Linked DNA regions of Caenorhabditis elegans. The protein of the gene in region 3 purifies or fractionates together with the protein of the main gene of each other region. This does not show direct contact. Each region holds a gene or a part of one and is shown on either strand. Other genes may lie near its edges.

The links.
Region 1: the proteins of pat-6 (region 3) and B0024.11 fractionate together in Caenorhabditis elegans (co-fractionation; one large-scale study listed by BioGRID). This does not show direct contact.
Region 2: the proteins of pat-6 (region 3) and cth-2 fractionate together in Caenorhabditis elegans (co-fractionation; one large-scale study listed by BioGRID). This does not show direct contact.

Annotation. Positions count from the first base shown.
Region 1 is NC_003283.11:10,316,992-10,323,043, forward strand, and holds B0024.11 (Putative pseudouridine synthase B0024.11), read right to left. Parts: upstream 2,544-6,052; coding exon 2,435-2,543; intron 2,385-2,434; coding exon 1,970-2,384; intron 1,925-1,969; coding exon 1,638-1,924; intron 1,595-1,637; coding exon 1,484-1,594; intron 1,439-1,483; coding exon 988-1,438; intron 944-987; coding exon 583-943; 3' UTR 501-582; downstream 1-500. Other genes in the region: asps-1 (TUG ubiquitin-like domain-containing protein), read right to left, coding at 1-403; gna-1 (Glucosamine 6-phosphate N-acetyltransferase), read right to left, coding at 2,663-3,160; srdf-3 (Polyprenal reductase), read left to right, coding at 3,727-3,926, 3,977-4,125, 4,550-4,741, 4,788-5,053, 5,102-5,224; crim-1 (Cysteine-rich motor neuron 1 protein-like), read right to left, coding at 5,578-5,677, 5,728-5,820, 5,866-5,987, 6,035-6,052.
Region 2 is NC_003280.10:7,055,684-7,061,354, forward strand, and holds cth-2 (Putative cystathionine gamma-lyase 2), read right to left. Parts: upstream 2,278-5,671; 5' UTR 2,261-2,277; coding exon 2,186-2,260; intron 2,138-2,185; coding exon 1,516-2,137; intron 1,115-1,515; coding exon 633-1,114; 3' UTR 501-632; downstream 1-500. Other genes in the region: ZK1127.3 (EAF7 family protein), read left to right, coding at 1-201, 243-365.
Region 3 is NC_003282.8:259,694-267,807, forward strand, and holds pat-6 (Paralyzed arrest at two-fold protein 6), read right to left. Parts: upstream 4,540-8,114; 5' UTR 4,532-4,539; coding exon 4,364-4,531; intron 4,319-4,363; coding exon 4,243-4,318; intron 4,198-4,242; coding exon 4,010-4,197; intron 3,950-4,009; coding exon 3,815-3,949; intron 3,268-3,814; coding exon 2,977-3,267; intron 2,922-2,976; coding exon 2,703-2,921; intron 2,367-2,702; coding exon 2,316-2,366; 3' UTR 2,193-2,315; downstream 1-2,192. Other genes in the region: pqbp-1.1 (WW domain-containing protein), read right to left, coding at 507-654, 983-1,224, 1,439-1,546, 1,591-1,717, 1,770-1,987; T21D12.12 (BPTI/Kunitz inhibitor domain-containing protein), read left to right, coding at 6,758-6,928, 7,923-8,013, 8,058-8,114. UniProt on the Caenorhabditis elegans protein: Involved in the regulation of cell adhesion and cytoskeleton organization. Component of an integrin containing attachment complex, which is required for muscle development and maintenance.

The DNA of each region.
Region 1 (6,052 bases), on a different chromosome or scaffold from region 3:
TCATGTAGACAATGCACGGAACGGATCCATCAATTGTCGTCGCTAAATCTTCTTTGAACTCGCTCGTGAAACTTTTCAAGGCATCTAAGAGCATCTGGTTTACACCTACTTTCTTCTGATGGCGAGCTCCAGAAGCAGTCTGAATAGCTAGTTCAATAATCGTATTCTCGGATACAGCTTCCTTTTGTGTCATTTCGAGAGTTGCATTGTTGGCGAGTCCGGTGAGTCGAAATGGAAGAGAAGAGTCAATGGGTTTACGAGATTGTGTTTGAAGACGATGACTGTTTACTTCAAAACCACTTTTCAGACAAGCTTCTTCGAGAACTTGCCTCATCAGCATCATTGGAGTGGTTTTTATTTGAACCCTTTTTGCATTTGGGCAGATTATGTTCAAGGAACTCATCTGCAAAATATTATGAACTGATAAGAGTAGAGTGGCATTACAAAAAAATAAACGGAAAAGTTGGAAATCAACCAGAATTAAATAAATACACCTCACCGAACATAAGCAATTTTATAAATTCACAACAAATAACAAAAAGGTTAACAATAAAAATAAAATGAAACATTGAAACTGTTGTATCATTGGTCCTCTGAAACAAGATTCAGCTCATTCGCATCATCGGATCCTTTTTCTTCCAACACATTTTCTTCAGTTTTTTCATCGTCACCACGTGTTTTGAACGAAGCATCTCTCATAGCCTTCTTGCCCATATCACTTCCAGTTACCTCACGAAGAGCTACAGTTGCATATGATCCAGATATCAAGCTAAACTGAATTTGCAATGCCAGAAGTGGACCTTTCTGTTCTGCTTCTGGGATAGCACGTGTTTGTAATCCATCTTGCAAGAGATCTCGTGCATTTCCATATCGAATAAACTTCCATTTGAGCTCCTTCGCTTCAACAAACAAGCATCTTGATGATTCGCCAAGTGAAAACCGACTTAAAATATATTACATTGATTGAACTTGGACCAGGAAACTTACTCTTTTAGTGCTGTGAAGCTCGATTGAGTGAGTCCATCTTCTTCAAGCAATTCAGAGATCCACTTAGCGCCATAACTACCCTCAAATGGCAAGTTTTCTCCCGGTAGTGGTATATGGATATCATAATGAGTTGCATGCTCGCCAAGAGAGAATCCATTGGCTCCAACGTCACTTTCATGTACTCGAGTACCATATTCCTTAACTCGACGAGAAGCTACTTTATTCCAAATGAGGCTTTGATAAGCGTGGACATAAAGACTGCGGCTTTGAATCGGAATTGCTTCAGTAATACAATTTTGCCATGTTCCTCCTTTCGAGAGACACTTCAAAATATTTCCTTCGACTGTAGCAAAAGCCTGAGCTCCTTTCAGCTTGGAAAATGCTTTTCTAGCATCCCCAGTTTGGGAAAAGCACTTAGCGGCGTAGCCAACTGACCCGTATCCCAGATGATCTAAAAAATATTAATTTTCTTTTTTTTTAATGTTTTAGCGCTAACCGGGCATAGCATTAGTCATGATCATTTTGACTGCTTTCTCCCAGTCTCTTTTCACAATAGCTAATCCGATTTCGGCTGTCGTAGAACTTCGTGAACCAAATCGTTGAGTACCTGAAGGTTATGAGGTCTATTGATACTCACCACCGATACTCACCGAAATAGTTGATGAATCCCGTATTTTGGAATGTTTCCAGTCTTTGATGGAGCAATTGTTCCGAATCGTCAGGCAAGCTTCTTAGTACAATGCTGAATCGATTTCCCCAGTGAGCTCCCATTTGAACTGGGTCATCTTTATACTCACATCCAAAGACTCGAATACCGCGGAGTTTCGAATTCAAATCCAGAATCGTTCGCTCATGCACTTTAGTAACACTAACTCTCTGTGAAGTCACAGCTCTCTTGTCTTTAATTCCGTGAGTTCTGATATTGTTCGGGCCCACACTGAAAATTACTTTTTAAAAAGTTTTTTTCTAAATTACAACTTACTTTAAAAACTTTGCAATAAGTTGGCAAGCAAAGCTAGTCTCTTTATTTTCTTTGCAAATGGTGAAGTGACATTCCTTTGGAACTTTTTCATCCCATAGTTTTCGCTTCCGACTGCTCTTCGTATGACCATGAGATACCAGAATTCCATCTTCCTTCGTTTCGGTGATTAAAACTCCAGCATACCGCTCTCTAATGAAATGATGAATGCTTTTTCGATCTTCCTTGCTCAAATCGTCAACTTTTACAAGAACGGGATCTCCTTTCGTAGAGAATCGGTCATTTAATGCAGCTAATGTCTCTTCTGAGATGCAATCTGGCTTAGCAACACACTCTTCGATCTCAATGTCTTCTTTTTTGGACCCAGTACTTTCTAGGACAACATCTGGCGATGGAATGGCCAAAACTGTGTGGTCGGCTGAAAATAAAATTAATTCTAGTAACATTAATTGAGTTTGATTAAATAACCTAAAATTTCTTGAACGATGAAGTCACTGTACATTTCTTTCAGTAGGCAGGGCACAGGAGTGATTGTATGCTCACTGGCATACTCGGTCAATCCAAATTCGGTTTCCATCTAAACTTTATTCAATAAATACATGAAAGAAATCAGACCAAACGATAAAACAAATTATGCGTAAAAACCATATTACAAGACCCCATTAGCAGAATAATCAATGAATTAACGTGTGAAATTTAGAAGCGCTGAGTCATAAAATTGCAATCGTCCTGGAACCCGAATTGTGAGTAGAATGGGAGAAGTTCAGGAACACACTCGAGAGAAATTTTGTAAACTCCGAGAGACTTTCCAAGAGAAACAAGAGTCTTCAAAAGAACGGCTCCTAATTTTTGACGACGCATTTCAGTATCCACGACAACATCTTCAACCCTTCCGCGACTTCCTGCCCCGTGAATGAACTTCATTTCGACAACCAAACTGGCAGATGCAACAACTTTTTGAGAATTGGAATCTTCGATGACGACTATATGATAATTGGGGACCGAGGTCCTCATCGCCTCAAATCGCTTTTCAAATGCTTCCTGATCAAGATTTCCGACCGAAGTCAACTGACTCAGAAGATCAACATATCCTTTCGAGAAATCGTCTTTTGCCAAGGGACGAACTTTAAAATTGTCAGGAAGATTCGAAGGAATGTGTGGAGCTAACACAGACGCATCAAAAATGTGAGACATATTTTCTCTGAAGAAAAGTGATGACAAATCGTTCGAACGAATGAGAAAAACTTAGGAGGAATCTAGCGCAGCTTGCTAAATATTTGAAAAAATGAAAATTAAAATAAGGAGAGAAATTATAACTCGAACGATGCGGAGATTTGTTCCAAATCGACGCAAAAAATAAATAAATCAACGTTTAAAATTGTTCCTAGAACTAGGCCACGGCCACGCGTTCTCTCGGCCATGTACTCCTCTCGGACAAACATTTTAGAAACATTTTACATTGAACGACCTGTGAAATCAAAAGAAAACGTTTTACTTCTTTTTTTCTTTATTTTTTTTTCAAAACTCCAACTGCCCAGTATCTGCCATTGGTTTTTCTATTTACTTTCTCATCGCGCACTTACACACTTGCAGCTGCACTCGTTTGGCGTATTCTCTCCTCAGAAAAAGAAACTCTGCGTCGGCTCCTCCCTCGTCCAAAAATGTTTCCATTACTCATTTCCGCTCTTTTCTTCTTGTTTCCGTTTTTGACTTTATTTTTCTGTGTCCATTGATTTTTCTATACAATTATTCATTTCAGAATGTTAGATAGACTTTGGGAAGTGCGCCAAGCACTGCCCCTTTATCTGTTAGTATCTACGCTTGGACTTGCCATTTCATGTTGTTTTACTCTCATATGTCCTCACGTTTGTCGATTGATACCTGCACTAACTACATATGGAAAAGCTGCTGATCAACAAGAAGATAACTCTTTGGTAGAAAAAATATCTGTACCTAAAAAGTGAGTACAGTTAGTCTTTGGGAGTTCTATCCTTGTCTGAAATTTTTCAGATGGTTTAAGCATTTTTACGCAATCGGTCTTCTAACACTTTTTATATGTCTACACACTGTCCACTCGTTAATCTACAATCCTAATTATCTGCATCCAGTGGTTCTCAAGATTCTTGCCACGCTAACACGATCCTACAGTATACCACCAAGTAAGTTTTTCTTTTAAAAAAAAAGTGATTTTCTTTTTTTTTTTTTGATTAGTGGTTTTTGGAATATATGCGAAGTCGCGACGCAGTTGTATTAATTTCATTGTTTTCAATTTTCAGTAGAACTTAAACTTTTTATTTTCAGTCAAAAAGTGTCTATTACTCAATTTTGTAAAACAACAAAAATATTGTATTCTACAAATGTTATATTTTAATAATGTTTCAAATATTTTATGTAATCACTGTAGGGCTTCAAACATGTGGTGTTGCTTTAAATTTTTCAAAAACTTCAAACGTTTCGTAAATTTAAAAATAGATAAATACCATTTGGCAAATTACCAAAACTTTGACTCAAATTTTCAGAAATTAGAAATTTGATTAGAATATCATATTATACACTTTTAAGTTGAAATAAATATGTTTTCAGTTACCCCAAGCACATCAATCTTGGCTCTCCTGCTCATAAGCCTTCACGTAGCACGACGTCTCTATGAAACAATATTTGTCAGTGTTTACTCGGACAGTCGTATGAACTTGTTTCACTATGCAGTTGGGATAGTCCACTACATCATTCTGCCAATTTCAATTATGTGTGAAACACAGGGAGTTGCTTCCAAATGTAAGAAGATACTTATCTGAAATGTTCTAGTAATTTATTTTCACAGTACCTCAGCTTCACGTGTCAATTGATGATATTTCTCTCACCCAATGGGCTGGAGCTGTCCTTTTTTGGATTTGCAATTGGAAACAACATCAGCTAGCCGAACAAATAGCAAATACAAGAAAAGGTCCTAGAGGACTAATTCGCAATTACGCCTATGGTATCTGCTTTGGTGGTTGGTTCAATCTCGTCTCATGTCCTCACTTTCTATTCGAGATATGCATCTACTTGTCACTTTTTCTTGTAATTCCTGATGCCTACGTGTATAGAGTAAGTTGTCAGTTTCATCCGTTTTTCTTCTAAAAAAATCCGTTTCAGTTCATAATCATGTTCGTGTGCATCAATCAAACGTTTGCTGCTCTCATCACTCACTCCTGGTACCACAAAACATTCCCAAAATATCCGAAAAGTCGGAAAGCTCTCATTCCTTACGTTCTATGATGCTCTTCTCCCGGTTTCTTTTTATTTTTTCGCTACTCGTGTCGCTAGATTCTTGTCATAAACCAAAATTTATAAAGCAATTATTTATAGTTTATTAATCCAAATGTGTGCAACATAACTGTACAAAACACATTACATGAACTGACGAGACGAAAAGCTTTTTCATTAAAATCAGGGACAAGGATGACCCGCATCGTGAGTTAAATTGATTGTGGATGAGAAGGTGGATTCATAATTAGATGATTGAAATGAAAAACTCGAACATGTGACAGAAACTGTACGAGTAAAAATTGTATGCGAATTTTGAACCCGCAATGAGAATGAGGAAGTAAGAAAAACAAAGGATGGTTTAATTATACTGGATATCGATGCTTCGGTGTCAGTGGTTGTGTGTCTGAAATCGGCACGTGTCCAGAAGAAGAAATTGTAGAAGGTGCTGTCGAAGTATCACTCCTGAAAAATATTCACGGAGAATGCGATGAAAATAGAAAATTGAAGCATACATTGTAGAAAGCAAACTGTCTGATTGATCATCTGAATTCTGCGAGTCGTGTCGAACATGATTAGTTGATGTCTTCAACAATTCCTCCGTACTTCTGAAATATTTTTTAAAAATAAAGTATTTGATTTGTGTTACATACTCTTCTCTCGTGTCCTTCCAATCCACGAGTCTTGGCATGGATCCAATTGTTTTTGACGCTGAAAGTCTTACTGTTGATGCTCCCCCCGATGCTATTTGGCCGACTTCGTTGAACTTGTGCAGCTGAAATTGAACCTATTTTAATAGACTCAATTGCATTTAAAGCGAACCTTGTTGCTTTTCTTATT
Region 2 (5,671 bases), on a different chromosome or scaffold from region 3:
GACCTCTTGATGGGAGGACGCCCAGAACGAACTTCATATCCGCCTAAATACTTGTGTCGTCCTTCACTTGAAATGATCGAAGATAAGCTCAAAAAATGGTTCGGTCTGAGATTCTGTGAAGAAAATGAATCGTATCCAAGCGAGTTTAATAGTGTCACCGATTACGAACTTCCCGAGTATATCATGGCTGAAGTGCGCGAGGTAATTTTGAAACAATAGATATTGCTTATTTTTGTTCATAGCTTTCAGATAAGAGAGCAGAAAGAGAAAGAAACACAGACAACGGGATCGTCGAGTCGGAAAAGAAGAGTACCATCCCCAGAAGATTGACAGAAGAAGATGAAAATTATGACATTCAAACTTAAATGATCTCTCTATGATTCCTTCTACGCTATCTAATTATAATTCAATGTGTACCTTTCTTTCATATACCAATTGCAAAATATCATGTTATGTATTCCAATTTCTGTTTCGAATAACAATTATCATTTTTCATAGAAAAAATTTATTGGATAGTGTAAGACACAATTTGAGTCGATTAGTTAGAGGTTGTGGTGGAGACGAGTGGGCAATTAAAACTAGTACCGGCTTTCAGATTTGAAACAAATGCATATCATAAAATGATTGAAAAGTTATACTTTTGGAATGGCAATCTTCAAAGCTTGATCCAAATCAGCAACCAAATCATCGAGATCTTCAATTCCAACAGAGATACGGATAAGGTTATCAGTGATTCCAAGAACAATTCGAGTTTCAGCAGGCACTGAAGCATGAGTCATGATAGATGGAAGCTCGGCAAGTGATTCATATCCTCCAAGAGATTCAGCCAAAGTGAATACTTTGAGAGCAGAAAGGAAAGCACGACTCTCTTGAAGTTCTCCTTTAAGATAGAATGAGATCATTCCAGACATTCCCTTTGTTTGTTTCTCATGAACTTCATGTTGTGGATGAGATGGAAGAGCTGGATAGAGAACTGATTCGATACGATCATTGGCTTCAAGGTATTTGGCAACAGCAAGAGCATTTTCATAGTGAGCTCTCATTCTGATGTGAAGAGTTTTGAGTCCACGATTAACAAGGAAGCAATCAAATGGAGATGGGACTGCTCCGACGGCTGAAAATAATAGCATTAAAATTTTGAGTTAACGATTAATTTAGCTATCCAATGAGATTTTAAACAGTTTTATAATTTTGCGACATTTGACTCAAGGTACATGTTCTCGATATGAGCGAAACTTTGCTTCTACAGTACCCACAAGTATTTAGCAATTTTTTTTATAGTTCCAATGTATTTTATATGATTTCTAAAGCAGAGAAACTGATTTCTTTTCTAGAAAAACACGAAGAAATTAATATTGAAATTCAGTGAAAACCGTTAAGAAAAAATTCGAAGCACTTGCGAATACAGTAGCTGCCAAGTTTCACTAGCTTCAAGACCGGTTACCGTATCTATGCCTCAAAATGACAAAATTATACGACTAGATTTCACTGCGTACAACAGCACAGTAAACTAACCAAGTTGCATGAAGAAAAGATGTTGTTGGAACTCGTCATTATCAGTGATAACAGCACCCATAACAACATCAGAATGTCCATTAATATACTTGGTAATTGAATGAACGACAACATCCGCTCCAAGAGAAATTGGGCGTTGGAAGTATGGAGACATGAAGGTATTATCAACAACTACAACAATTTCTGGATTGGCTTTCTTTGCAGTTTGGACCACTGCGGCAATATCAACAACCTTCAAAAGTGGGTTAGATGGAGATTCAAACCAAACCATCTTGGTATTTGGTTTGATTGCTTTCTCGAGATTCTGAACATCCGTCAAATCAACCGAATCGACTTCCAATCCGTGATTAGGAACAGCAACACGGCGGATATATCTTTGAGTACCTCCGTAGACATCATCAGAGCACACAATATGATCTCCGTACTTGAGAAGATTGATGATTGCGGAAGTTGCGGCAAGTCCTGAAGAGAACACTTGGCAGTGTTTTGCGTCTTCGAGAGCAGCCAGATTCTTTTGAAGAACATCACGAGTTGGGTTTCCAGCACGAGAATAATCGTGTCCCTTTGGCTCTCCTGGATTATCCTGTTTGTAGGTCGAGGACAAGCTGATTGGCGGGACCACCTGAAAAGTATCAGTTCAGTATTTATATTCAGAATACCTATGACAAACCTGATTCATATCCCATTGCTCTGGTTCTTGTCCAACGTGGATAGCAGCAGTTCCGAAGTGTGGGAAAGTAGCCATTTTAATCTTGAGACAGGCTGCAATAAGAAGACTGATGTCGAGAAATGATAATCAAATGGATTTATAAGTGTGAGAGAAAGAGGAGAGAAAAGAAAAAAGAACGAATGAAAGGGGCGGGGTCAAACGAAGGGTCGGTCGACACGCCGAAAGTTTCAATGAAATCGTTAAAGAAAAAAACGTTCTTGACATTGGTCAAAAAGACGTTAATCTTCTATTATTTTTAGATTTTACAGAATGTAGCTGATTAGGCAAACAAGATGTTAAAAACGGAAGAAAAGAAGAAAAATAAATAGTGATGTGCAAAGAAGGAATGAACAATGTTTGATACTATTGAATGATGTACACATCTGGAATAAACACTCTTATCAAATCTCCAAACGAGACCATTTTGCAGAAAAAACCGGATATGAGAAGAAGCGTGGGAAATTGAGAAATTTGAAAAATAAAAGATAAGATTAACGACTGATAGGTGGCGTATTTTTCATACTTCAAAAAATAATATGTATTTGGCACAAGTTTGGTAATAAATTTGACATTTCTGGGGATTCTGTGGTGTTTTTATATGTTGGTTAAAAACAATTTTTATTGCTCAAATATGGTTTTTTCGTGAACAGCTGAATATTTGTAAATTCTATAGTATTTTTTGAAAAGTTCGGAATTTGAATTGTATAATGTCAAGTCACATTCTACGAACCAGAATCTTAATTTTTAACATGAATTGGCCTAATACTAGTAATAGAAACATTTTAATAGAAACAGAGGTTTCTACAAAAATACATTAATCCTACAGTACCCCGACCCTATCCCTCCCTACTAATATTTGTTTTTATAGTAAAAACTTAAAAATCGTGGAAAATGTTATTTTGATCGACTTCCAAAAGGATAGAAGAGAACTAACTTAAGTAATTACAACGTTGTATAAATAATAGAAATTTCCGAAAACATTTAAGGATGTATAAAAATTTCTATATTTTAGCACCATAAGATGAGTTTTTTTGAAAATCTCCACTGGCTCTGCATACAAACTACAGTAGGCCAACAGTATCATGACAATGTATCAGCTCAAGTTCACAAAGAGTTCTTGCTGCAATTATTTTTTTTTACAAACTATGAAAGTCAGTAATCATAAATGTATTTACTAATGACGATCTTGAAACAAAAGATAACACAGTTTGACGTGACTTACTATTAGAGTTTCCAAAGTCTTGAAGGAATTTTAAATTAACTGAAATCACGTAATTGTGCAGTTTGAACACTATCTTAATGTTTATTTTGTTCCTTCGTTTAGTTGATATAATATTTATCACATGTTACAGTTTTTTTTTTCAAAAAGTTCAAATTCCAGTGCCAATCACCCCACGTGGAGGTCTACCATGTGGTATTTTGTTTGAGAAACATGTCGATGAAATCAAATCCTCAAAGCATCGATTTCTCTATGTCTCGTATCATTTTTTCGTTATCAAAAAGAGAGAAGAATTTGTCTCATTCTCTCGTTGTGTCTACTGCAAACCAGCCACATGTGTGTCTCGAGCAGTTGGACAAAGGGCACCAGAAGGAGAGAGTTCAAGTTCAAAATATCATTTGGAAGAGGCAGATAGGGATTGAATACATAGAAATGATGATAATTGTGACGTGTTTTTTAATTGGCAACCTTGGCGTGGAAAAGATAAGATTTGAGACGACATTTCATTTGCAGGAAGTCTTGAATTTGGAGGAGGAGGAAAAAGAAAGCGAAAGTTTCAATTTATTGATCAATTGCATTTTCTTCTAGATTTAGAAATAGGTAGAGTTGCTACCAGTAGGTTTACATTTTATTGCTTGTGATCAGAAAGCAGGTTTTACCAATTTGCTACTTGAATGAAAAATTAATTTTTTAAATGTATAAGTACCCATAATTTTAGATTAACTAGATTAACTAACTAGATTAATAATTTTCACCAAAGGTGTAAAAATGTGGAGTTGTTGCCGAATTTGCCAAAACATTCACTGAAGGATCTAATAAACCTCAAATAAATAATTATTTTGAAAGCTATTTTCAATTCTATCAGAACATTCTGAAGGTGACCTCGTATTCTTAAACCAACCGGAACTTGGCTGAAAATCGAAAATTTAAAATGTTTCATGTCTATACTGTCGTAAAAATTAAGCCCACCTTTTAATTTTAATAATAATAAGCAATTTATGTATTCTGGATACTAGAAAAAGTAGACAAAAAATGATTTTTTAAAGGTCTGTGAACATACTTACTTATATCATATTAAGAAGTAGAACAGCAAAAGATTATTGAAGTTTGATTCTCCGTTTTTTTCATTAAGTATGTCAACAATTGATAAGAGTTCAGTGACACATACGTCACTATCTCAAAAACATTTGTCAGCAGAAATTCAAATTTAATTTCAATTTCAAGATAACAAACCAACCTCGCCATGTGCTACTCACTTGATAAAATTATAAAATTTTTACGATTTGAAAATTAAATAGACATAGAGAGGAAAAAGGTCAGAATGGCATGTCTAGTGAATGCTCCTGCGCAAATTTATATGGACGCTGCTTTGCGTCCGCTCACCTCCCGCCCCTCAATCTGAGCGGCACGCGGCAGACAGTTGCATCAGCCGTTTGGAAGGAATGGAGAATGTTGATAGATGTGAAGAGTTAGAGATCATAATGATTGAGAGATGAAGAGAAATGATATACTTTACAAAAAACTACTGGTCGGATGGATGGGGACTTTTGAAAGTTGAAGAGCTCTTTGAAAAATAGAAAACTGAAAAAGAAAATTGATATTTGACAATTTCAAGTTCAGAATGCAGAGGACATTTAAAATTCCTAGAATTTTTGAAAATATCAGTGTAATTTTCTATTTTCAGCTGAAAGTTAAACTCAAAGTTAAAAAAAAGTGCAAATTTTTTATGCTTGTTAGTTGAAAAGCAAATAGACATATTGTCTAGCAACTGAACTTCATAATTCGTCCTTTTATATACGTTTCCTTCCAACTTTTCTGATTTGTCATTGTCATCATTTGACCTCCTCGTGTCGATTTGTGTTTTGTCATCATTATAGGAAAAACATATGTTTTTTTGTAGTAATGAAATGACTACGATGTGTTCTTTAGAAAAAATATTACGAGTTTTAGAAATTATTTCATCAGCAATTGAGGATTTGATTAGGAATTTTGATGTTTATGGTTAATTTGGCAATTAGTACATGGAATTAAAATAAACTTGATCATATACAGAAAACGAAACGAATTGGTGGAAAATGAAGAGTAGAAAGAGAAAGAAGAAACTAGAGATGGAAATGGGAGAAGCGGATGGAAAATCGATGCGGAACAGAGAAGCGGAAAGCGGAAAAAGTGTGAAGAGGAGAAAAGAGCACAGAGAAATTTGAGCATTCAGCATTGGGATTGAAACT
Region 3 (8,114 bases):
GCGCTTGTGTCGATTTACGGGATCGCTTTTCGAAATGAATTTTAATAATTTTTTATCGATAGAATATTAGAATTAAGAAAAATTAAATCATTTCAAAAATCGACACAAACGCTACAGTATATCTTTTAAAGAACTACTGTAGTTTTCGCTATGAGATCTTTTGCGCGTCAAATATGTTGTGCGATACGCATTCTCAGCATTTAGTGTTCCTGTAATATTTCAATTACTACCATCTTCTCAGTTTATCTCTCCATTGCTGCTTTTTTTCTATTGTACGTTTTATTTAATGCATAGAAACAGTTGATGAATTTATGGAAATGTTTTGGAGAAGCACAGAGAAAAATTCAGATGTCTGAGCACATTTATGTGCATAGAAAAAGAAAAAGATACAGGTACAACGGTACAAAACAGAACAAATAAATAGTAGGAAATGACAGAACTTTTGGAAGGAAGTGGAGTAGGAATTTTGAATTAAAATAATCAAAAATTAAAACAATAAAATTGAATTATTGATCGTCCTCTTCATCCTGTGGTTTCTGCTTTCTGAGAATTGCTCCCGGAGCAGGATAGGGTCTTTGTTGGAAAAGTGGTCCACCAGCAGTCACGTCGGCTCCAGTCACCTGATCAACTCGAAGACCATCCGACCATTTTCCACTGAAATATCATATAAAAATCAAATTTTTTCGCTCAAATATTATTTTTCATAATTTTTTCATATCGACATTTCGCCGGAAACGTTGTATTTTCGGGTTGCGTACTTTTGAAGCTACCGTATTCCCCAAATTTCAAATGGAAAATTATAATTTTCTGAAGAAAAACTATAAATTTAGCTAAAATTAGACCGCTGAAAAACGGAGAAGTTGGAGATTTTAAATTTGAGATTTTATTTATGTTTCTCGAAATTTTTGAATTTTTGAATCCAATTTCTTGAAAATTCTAATTTTTTCGCTTCAGAAACAGAATTTTAGAAAAAAAAGCTTACACTGGAGCATCTCCATAAGCTGCTGGATCCATTGGATCAATTCCTTTCCTTTTTGCTCTTTTCAGTCTATCCTTATTTGTCATTTCCTGTAACTCGTCTTCATCTGAATCTGGACCCTGTGACGTCATCGGATCACGTCGCTTCCGCTTTTCAGCATTATTGCCACGTGATTGCTTATCATCATTCCCTCCGCGTGAAGTTTTCTTGTTGTGGAAATTTCTGCGGCGGGCGGCATTGTCCTCCTGGAAAAAGTACATAGTTTTAAAGAATAAATGTTCGGAAATTCGTATTTAAAGGCGCTCGGATCCTTATAAATGAGTCTCGCCGCGTTTTGTCCATGAAAGTTTTTTTCTAGAATTTCTTGAGCAAACTGTTGAAAATAGCAAAAATAAAAGTACAAGCTACTTTTTTCCGGCGGCGATACCCATTAAGTACGATTTCAGCTTCAAATTCTACCTCAGATGCGTGAGAATCTCCAAAAAGCACTGTAGCATGCTCTCTGGCGATTCGAGGAGCTGGATCACTGATAATAGCTCGTGGATGACGAGGCGAGTACCAACAAACCTGAAAAAAACCAATTAAAATCAGAAAATTATTCTGCTTCTCACCTCATCTGTTGTTTTATTCCAGAAATAATACTTCGCAAGTCCCTCATCATAGACTTCAACCCAATTTTCGGGAAGTGGAAACTTTGCAAGCATTCTGTTTTTGTTCTGCACATATCTCTCGGGCAACCTGCAAAAAAAAACGATTTTTAATTAATTTTTCGCTAAAATTCAAAACAAACCGATATTCCGGAGTTCCATCGCCCCAATGATCATAGCAAAATTCGAGGCAAACGTGATATTGATTCCATTTATTTGGACAACCAGGTGCTCCTGCCGAATTCTCTTCGAAACTTTTCTTTTCTGGCTCTTTTTCATAGTTTTCAGCGATAACCTCTTCTTCTTGCTTTACAATTCCCCTTTTTTGAAGTCGAGCGAGAAGAGCTGGTGGAAGAGGCATTTTCTGTAAAATAAATACAATTTTATATACAATCAATTCATATTAATTAAAATAAAGAAACAAGAATAAAAGAATCGATGAGAAAATGCATTAAATTTTATTAATGCAAACGCGCCCCATTGCAAATCTCCTTTACGAGGGAGTTCAAATAGAGTTTTTTTTTCGGAATTTGCCAATTTCTTTAATTTAATATAGTGCTAAGTCTAAAAATTAAAAGATTTATTGACATAAATGCAATTTTAACAAAATTAAAGCACCATAGTTGTTGAGCCAGACACAAATTATTGGACGGTGTCGTTTGATTAGGATGACGAATGAAGTTCTCAGATTAGATATGTTTGTACTTAGTGAAAAGCAAATGGAGAAGACGGAGAGTGCTCTGCAATAAAGAATGAATTAGGATTGTATATAGAAAATCCATCGCATCAGATATGAGCAGAAAATTTGTTTTTGCCACTTGTTTAAAATTCTTCGGGATTGCTGAATCGTCGTGAAAAGAAAATTCGACAACTGCGAATGTAATCGCGCTTCAACCAAATGGCGATACCTAACGAGACCCAATTAAAGGAGGCGGGACATTTTCATTTCCGGCTGAAGCGCGATTACACTTTGATTTCAATCCCTTAAAATTTTGCACTATTTAAAATTGAGGATTGTAAATTGAATTAAATTAGGAAAATGGTATATTTTTCTGTAAATTGTCAAAACTACAAACCTTAACATCTCCATTGGCAATATCCTGAACACGAGATCTAGGCTTCTCAAGGCCAGTGTCTTCCATAAGTTTGAACGCAAATTGCACATTTTTTACTTTCTCCTCGTGGCTTTGAACTTGGAGATTAAAATGGTAAAGCGGGACGAAATAACCTTCAAGAAGTCCCACTAGGAGAACTAAGAAAACTCCGTCCTGGAATTGATTATCCAAATCAGACACCTAAAAATTTACAAATATCAGCTTCTTTGTAGCACAATGAAGTGAATAAACTTACTTCCAGATTAATTTTATTCAAATGCTTATTACAAAAAGCCAACAAAGATGTCTTCACATGAGCCAACTTATCGGGTCCATAATCGAAAAGCGTATCAAATGCGTCACGAGTGCCCTTCGGTGCCAACTCAGTTTGAACTGTAGTGATTTGCTCAGTAATTCGATGGGTCTTCACTTGACCATGTTCCTTTTGAGCCACCACAACGTTAGCAACCACGTTATCTGGGAATCGAACTGGAGCACGGTAGTGAAGAGCAAGAAGCACCAGGAGCTGGATGATGGCAGTGAAGTCCTGGGAATATTCTTTTATGAGAAAATATAAAATATGGAAAGTAACTCTGTTTATTCGAAAAGTACTGTTGCGTTCAACTATCGTATATTCTCAATAAGTTTTGCATCCAAAAACCACCTCGAAAATTAGTATTGCAGTTCACGAATTTCTATATAGATTACCAGCCGTGGACCTGGGGGTGAAAACTGATTTTTTCTGAAACTACAGTATTCCTACCGTACCACTATTGTGCCAATACAGTACTTCGACTATATCCCTACACTAACCCCAACTCACTATCCCAAGAAGCCAAAACTTCACAGACTACAAAGACTACATAGACTACAAACTATGGACACACAGAATAAGCGCTTTATATATAGTAAATGATGAATAGTATTGTGTGGCGGAGGTGTCCACAGATTAACATATCATACTAATATAGAATATACGGTAGTTTTTGGAACAGCTTCGAGTGAGAAACTCTTTTGTCTACAGTGCGTCAAACATCTGCACAATGAAATGTAAGACTGATAGAAATGAACAATTCAGACAAAGATTTGCGTACCTTTTGATGAATAAGATCCGCAGACCATTTCTCTTGTTCTCTTGGCTGTCCGAGAATTCGATTGGCTGTTTGAACTACAATTTGCAGTTTTTGACGTTGTCCTTCTTCTGACTGCGAAACTTCTGGAACCTCGATCTGTAACAAAACTGTGAGTGGAGAATTTATTCAATTTGTGAAATTGTACCAATAACTTACTCGAATCTGCTCCAACTTTTCCAACAGCTTCTGGATGATTTGACCATCGAAAAGATCTTCTTGCAAGTGACGAACGACAATTCTTTGATCAGCTAGCTCTTCATTAAGCCAGTAGATCAGCAAATCGACAACTTGTGCCAACTTCTGATCGCGGGCTGTTTCCTTAGTCAGATAACGACGAATTTCTCCTGGAAAAAAATATATTGGATAAATATATTGGTGAAACCGTTTACCTTCTTCCAACCAGATGTTTCTTGCAAGAACTGGGACCAATGACTGATCGAGAGCCTCACGACCTTCAAGTTCAAGCTGAAAAATCTATATTTGCTAAAACCATTAATTTGCAAAACTAACCTCCAAAACTTCATCTTCATCAGTAGCATGATGTGCACCCCCTTGGTTTCCATGCTCATCTTCCGGCGCCTTCTTCTTTCGAGAAAGGGTACCAGAGAGTTTCTCAAAGACTCCAGGCTTTTTTGGTTCGTCACGAGATGGGGTCTTACTACGACCAAGTGTTGACATGGTTATTGCTGAAAAGTTTAAAATTATTAAGGGGTAAATATTTGTTGATTCATAATAAAAAATAAAGTACAATTAGATATTGATAAGTTAAAAAAATTTTGAAGTCTCATTATGAAACTCTGTTTTGGAACATTTCCTCTTTAAGCACTTAAATTTAAATTTGAAAAATCGATAATTCAATGTTCAAATAGCAGTAAAAATATTGTGTGGGAGGATTCTTTCCGTAGAGCAACACAAAAGTCCCCATCCAGGCCAGCAGATAGTGTAAAACAGCCGTCGTCAGTGTTGAAAAAGTGAGAGAGTGTTGGGAACAATAAGAGACGTAGAGTTGGAAGGAGAGTTTACGACAAATGAGAGATTGGGTGAAAAGAGGATGGTGCAGATAAATGGTGTGTGTGGGGGAGAGAGAAGGCTTTGGGATACATATAAATGTATGGGAATAGGAAAGAAGAACGGAAAGTTAATATTTGTATATGCATATGTATTGAGAAAGAAAAGGACGTCCATATAACAACTAATATTCAAATAAATAAAAATAAAAATAAATTAAGAAAGACAACAACTCTGCATTTACCGTATTTTCGCTATTAGTCTTGCATGCGAGACTAATTTTCAATTGGTCTTTAGGGGTGCAAGACTAATAGAGACTGAAAACTATTTTTCGAACTTTGGAAAGTGATACAATTTTGACCGTTCAAACAATGAAAAATACATACTTTCCCAATATTACATCAATTATTTGAACGATTTTACATTTGATTTACTCCAAAAATGATAAATTTGCTTACGTTTCCACAAAGTTCTGCTAATATGACAAAAAGTGGGGTGCTAGACTATTACAGGCTGTAAGACTGATTTTCAATTAGTCTGTAGGAGTGCAAGACTAATAGAGGAAATACGGTACAGTCGGTCCACAGGTCGGTCTTTTGAAAATAGTTTTTTCCATAGCAATTTTTGAAAAAATTTTGAAAAACAATTTTAGGAAAAAATTATGAAAAATCACATCAGTTACATTGATTATACGTACGGTACATTCGATTTCCTGGCGTATGATAATAGTTGCATTAAACCGAAATCAGATTAAGAAACATTGAACTAGTAATTGTAAAAATTAGCATGCAATCTAGAAAATTAGGAAATCTGAAAATTATTAAAGGTGGAGTAGGGCCAATGGAGTAAGTGTTAAAAAATACTCCTATGGTGCCAAAGTGACAAATAATCATAATAAAACTTTTCAAAACTTTTTTGAAAAATTTTTATTCACTGTCAAAAAGTGTTCAATATTCAGTTTTTGCCACTCATAATTTTGGAAGTCGACCAAAAAAAATTATTTTTCCTACATTTTTTATACTGTAATTTTGTTTCAATTATTTTTGTTGAATCATTGTAAAGACCGGAATATGCGACATTGCTTTGGATGTCCTCAAAAGCTCATATTTGTCAAAATTTTGGTAATGTGCCAAAACTTTGACCGAAATTAGGGAAAATCTAAAAATTTTTGTAGTTTTATTATGATATTCGGTCGTTTGAAATCATAATAAGCGTATTTAGACAAAATCCCCATTGACGCTACTCCACCTTTAAATTTTTGAAATTTCGTGTACTTCCTTCAAATTTGTTTAATCATCAACCCGATGCGTCTATCCTTCGTTATCAACAAATTGTAGGTGTCTGTGTCAAGAACTATTGTATCTCGTACAATCGAAAAACCAGTTCCTTCATTTTCAAAACGCTCCCTTATTTTCTTTGTTATCAACAATTCGATTTGTAAAAACGGAACCACATCGATTGTTGTCTCTTGTTATTACATCAATTCCTACACCATTTTCAGTCAAAGTGTGGATATTTTCTGAAAACTGAGCGATTTCAGCCAAATATTTGCCTGTTTTTCATTTTTCAATAAAACTTTGCCATGTTTTCAATCGTGCCCATTGATCTTTAATGAATTCTTTTTCGGGAGAATGTGTAGGTTATTTGTTAACCACCAACTCAATTTTGAACATTTTCCTGTTGACCAAACTTTTGATATTTGCCAAATCTTAGTTATGTAGGTGGGACGAAGATTCTTAAGTAAATATTGCTAGGAATTTGAGTATAAAATAGGAAAAGATCATTCGAGAATTGAAGTTTTCTTTTTGGTTTCTGCTTTTAATTGGCATTGGCTAGTAATATTATTCCACTCTCATTGATCATTAACGGGTAAAAAAAATTGTATTTTTTCAGACAATGCTAACTGCAATTACGATTTCCACCATTTTCATAACATTTTGCTTTGCTCAACAGCAGACAGATTGTTTTTCCGCTCGCGATACTGGAAATTCTGGATGTGGTCAGCAGGGAGCCCGCTCATTTTATTTCCACAAGAATACCCGCACATGTCAGCCATTTTTCTATCAGGTACTGTTTTTTCCAGTAGTCCTTTAGCATACTACCTATATTAGGTTTAGGTTTAGGCTTAAGCTTTGGTTTAGAGTTAGGCTGACAAGGGAAGCCTTTCAGCTCGTCCTCGGACTTCCGAATGAAACCTATTATAATTGAAAGAGGACCTTAATAGAAGGTCACTCCAAAATTTTTAGTCTCGGAGGAGGCTTACTAGGGAACCGTCAGAAGGTGCCCATCGGACTTGCATATGAGACCTATGCCATTCGATAACCCATGTCTTAAAACGGTTACTCGTGAATTTTTAGCTGCGAATCTCCAGAACCAAGCTCACGGCGAGCTCTCAAAGATCTTAAAATAGCACTGTAACGAAGCTTTGAAAGGTCAATTTTCCAAATTCACTTTGGTAGCTCATATCTCCGCCGATAAATTTTTTACAGAAAAGTCATCAACTAAAAAGTTGTTGATATTGTTGTAAAGAACAAGTTTTTAGTTAAATCTGAAACAACAATTTTTTTGATAAAAACTTTCAACTACAAGTTTTTATCAAAAAAATTTTTAGTTGATGACTTTTCTGTAAAAAATATATCCACGGAGATATAGGCTACCAAAGTGAATTTGGAAAATTGCTTCTTTTCATCGTTACAGTGCTTCGTTATAGTGCTATTTTAGAATCTTTGAGAGCTCGCAGTGACCTTGGTTCTGGAGATTCGCAGCTAAAAATTCACGAGTAACCGTTTTAAGACATGGGCTATCGAATGGCATAGGTTTCATATGCAAGTCTGATGGGCACCTTCTGATGGTTCCCTAGTTAGGCTTAGGTTTTGTCATAGGCTAAGGTTAGGCTTATGCCCAGGCTAAGGGCCATACTTACGGTATATTCTTAGCTTGTGCTTGAGCTGATGCTAGGAATATACCTTATCTTCTCACAAACGGAAATTTCTCGTTGAATTTAACAGAATAGTATACTTCTTGGAAAAACGTTCAATTAAAATGAATAAAACAATTTTAGGGATGCGACGGCAACTCCAATCGATTCCAATCGAAAGAGGCTTGTGAATCAGCTTGCCGGAACGCGACTGCTTCTGACGATTTAGCTTACGGTTAGTTGAACAATGGATGACAAAGGTGTATAATAGTTTTTCAGCTGTATGTCCATCTGGAGCATACCCAGCTGGAGCCACTTCTGGTCAGACTGTTGGAT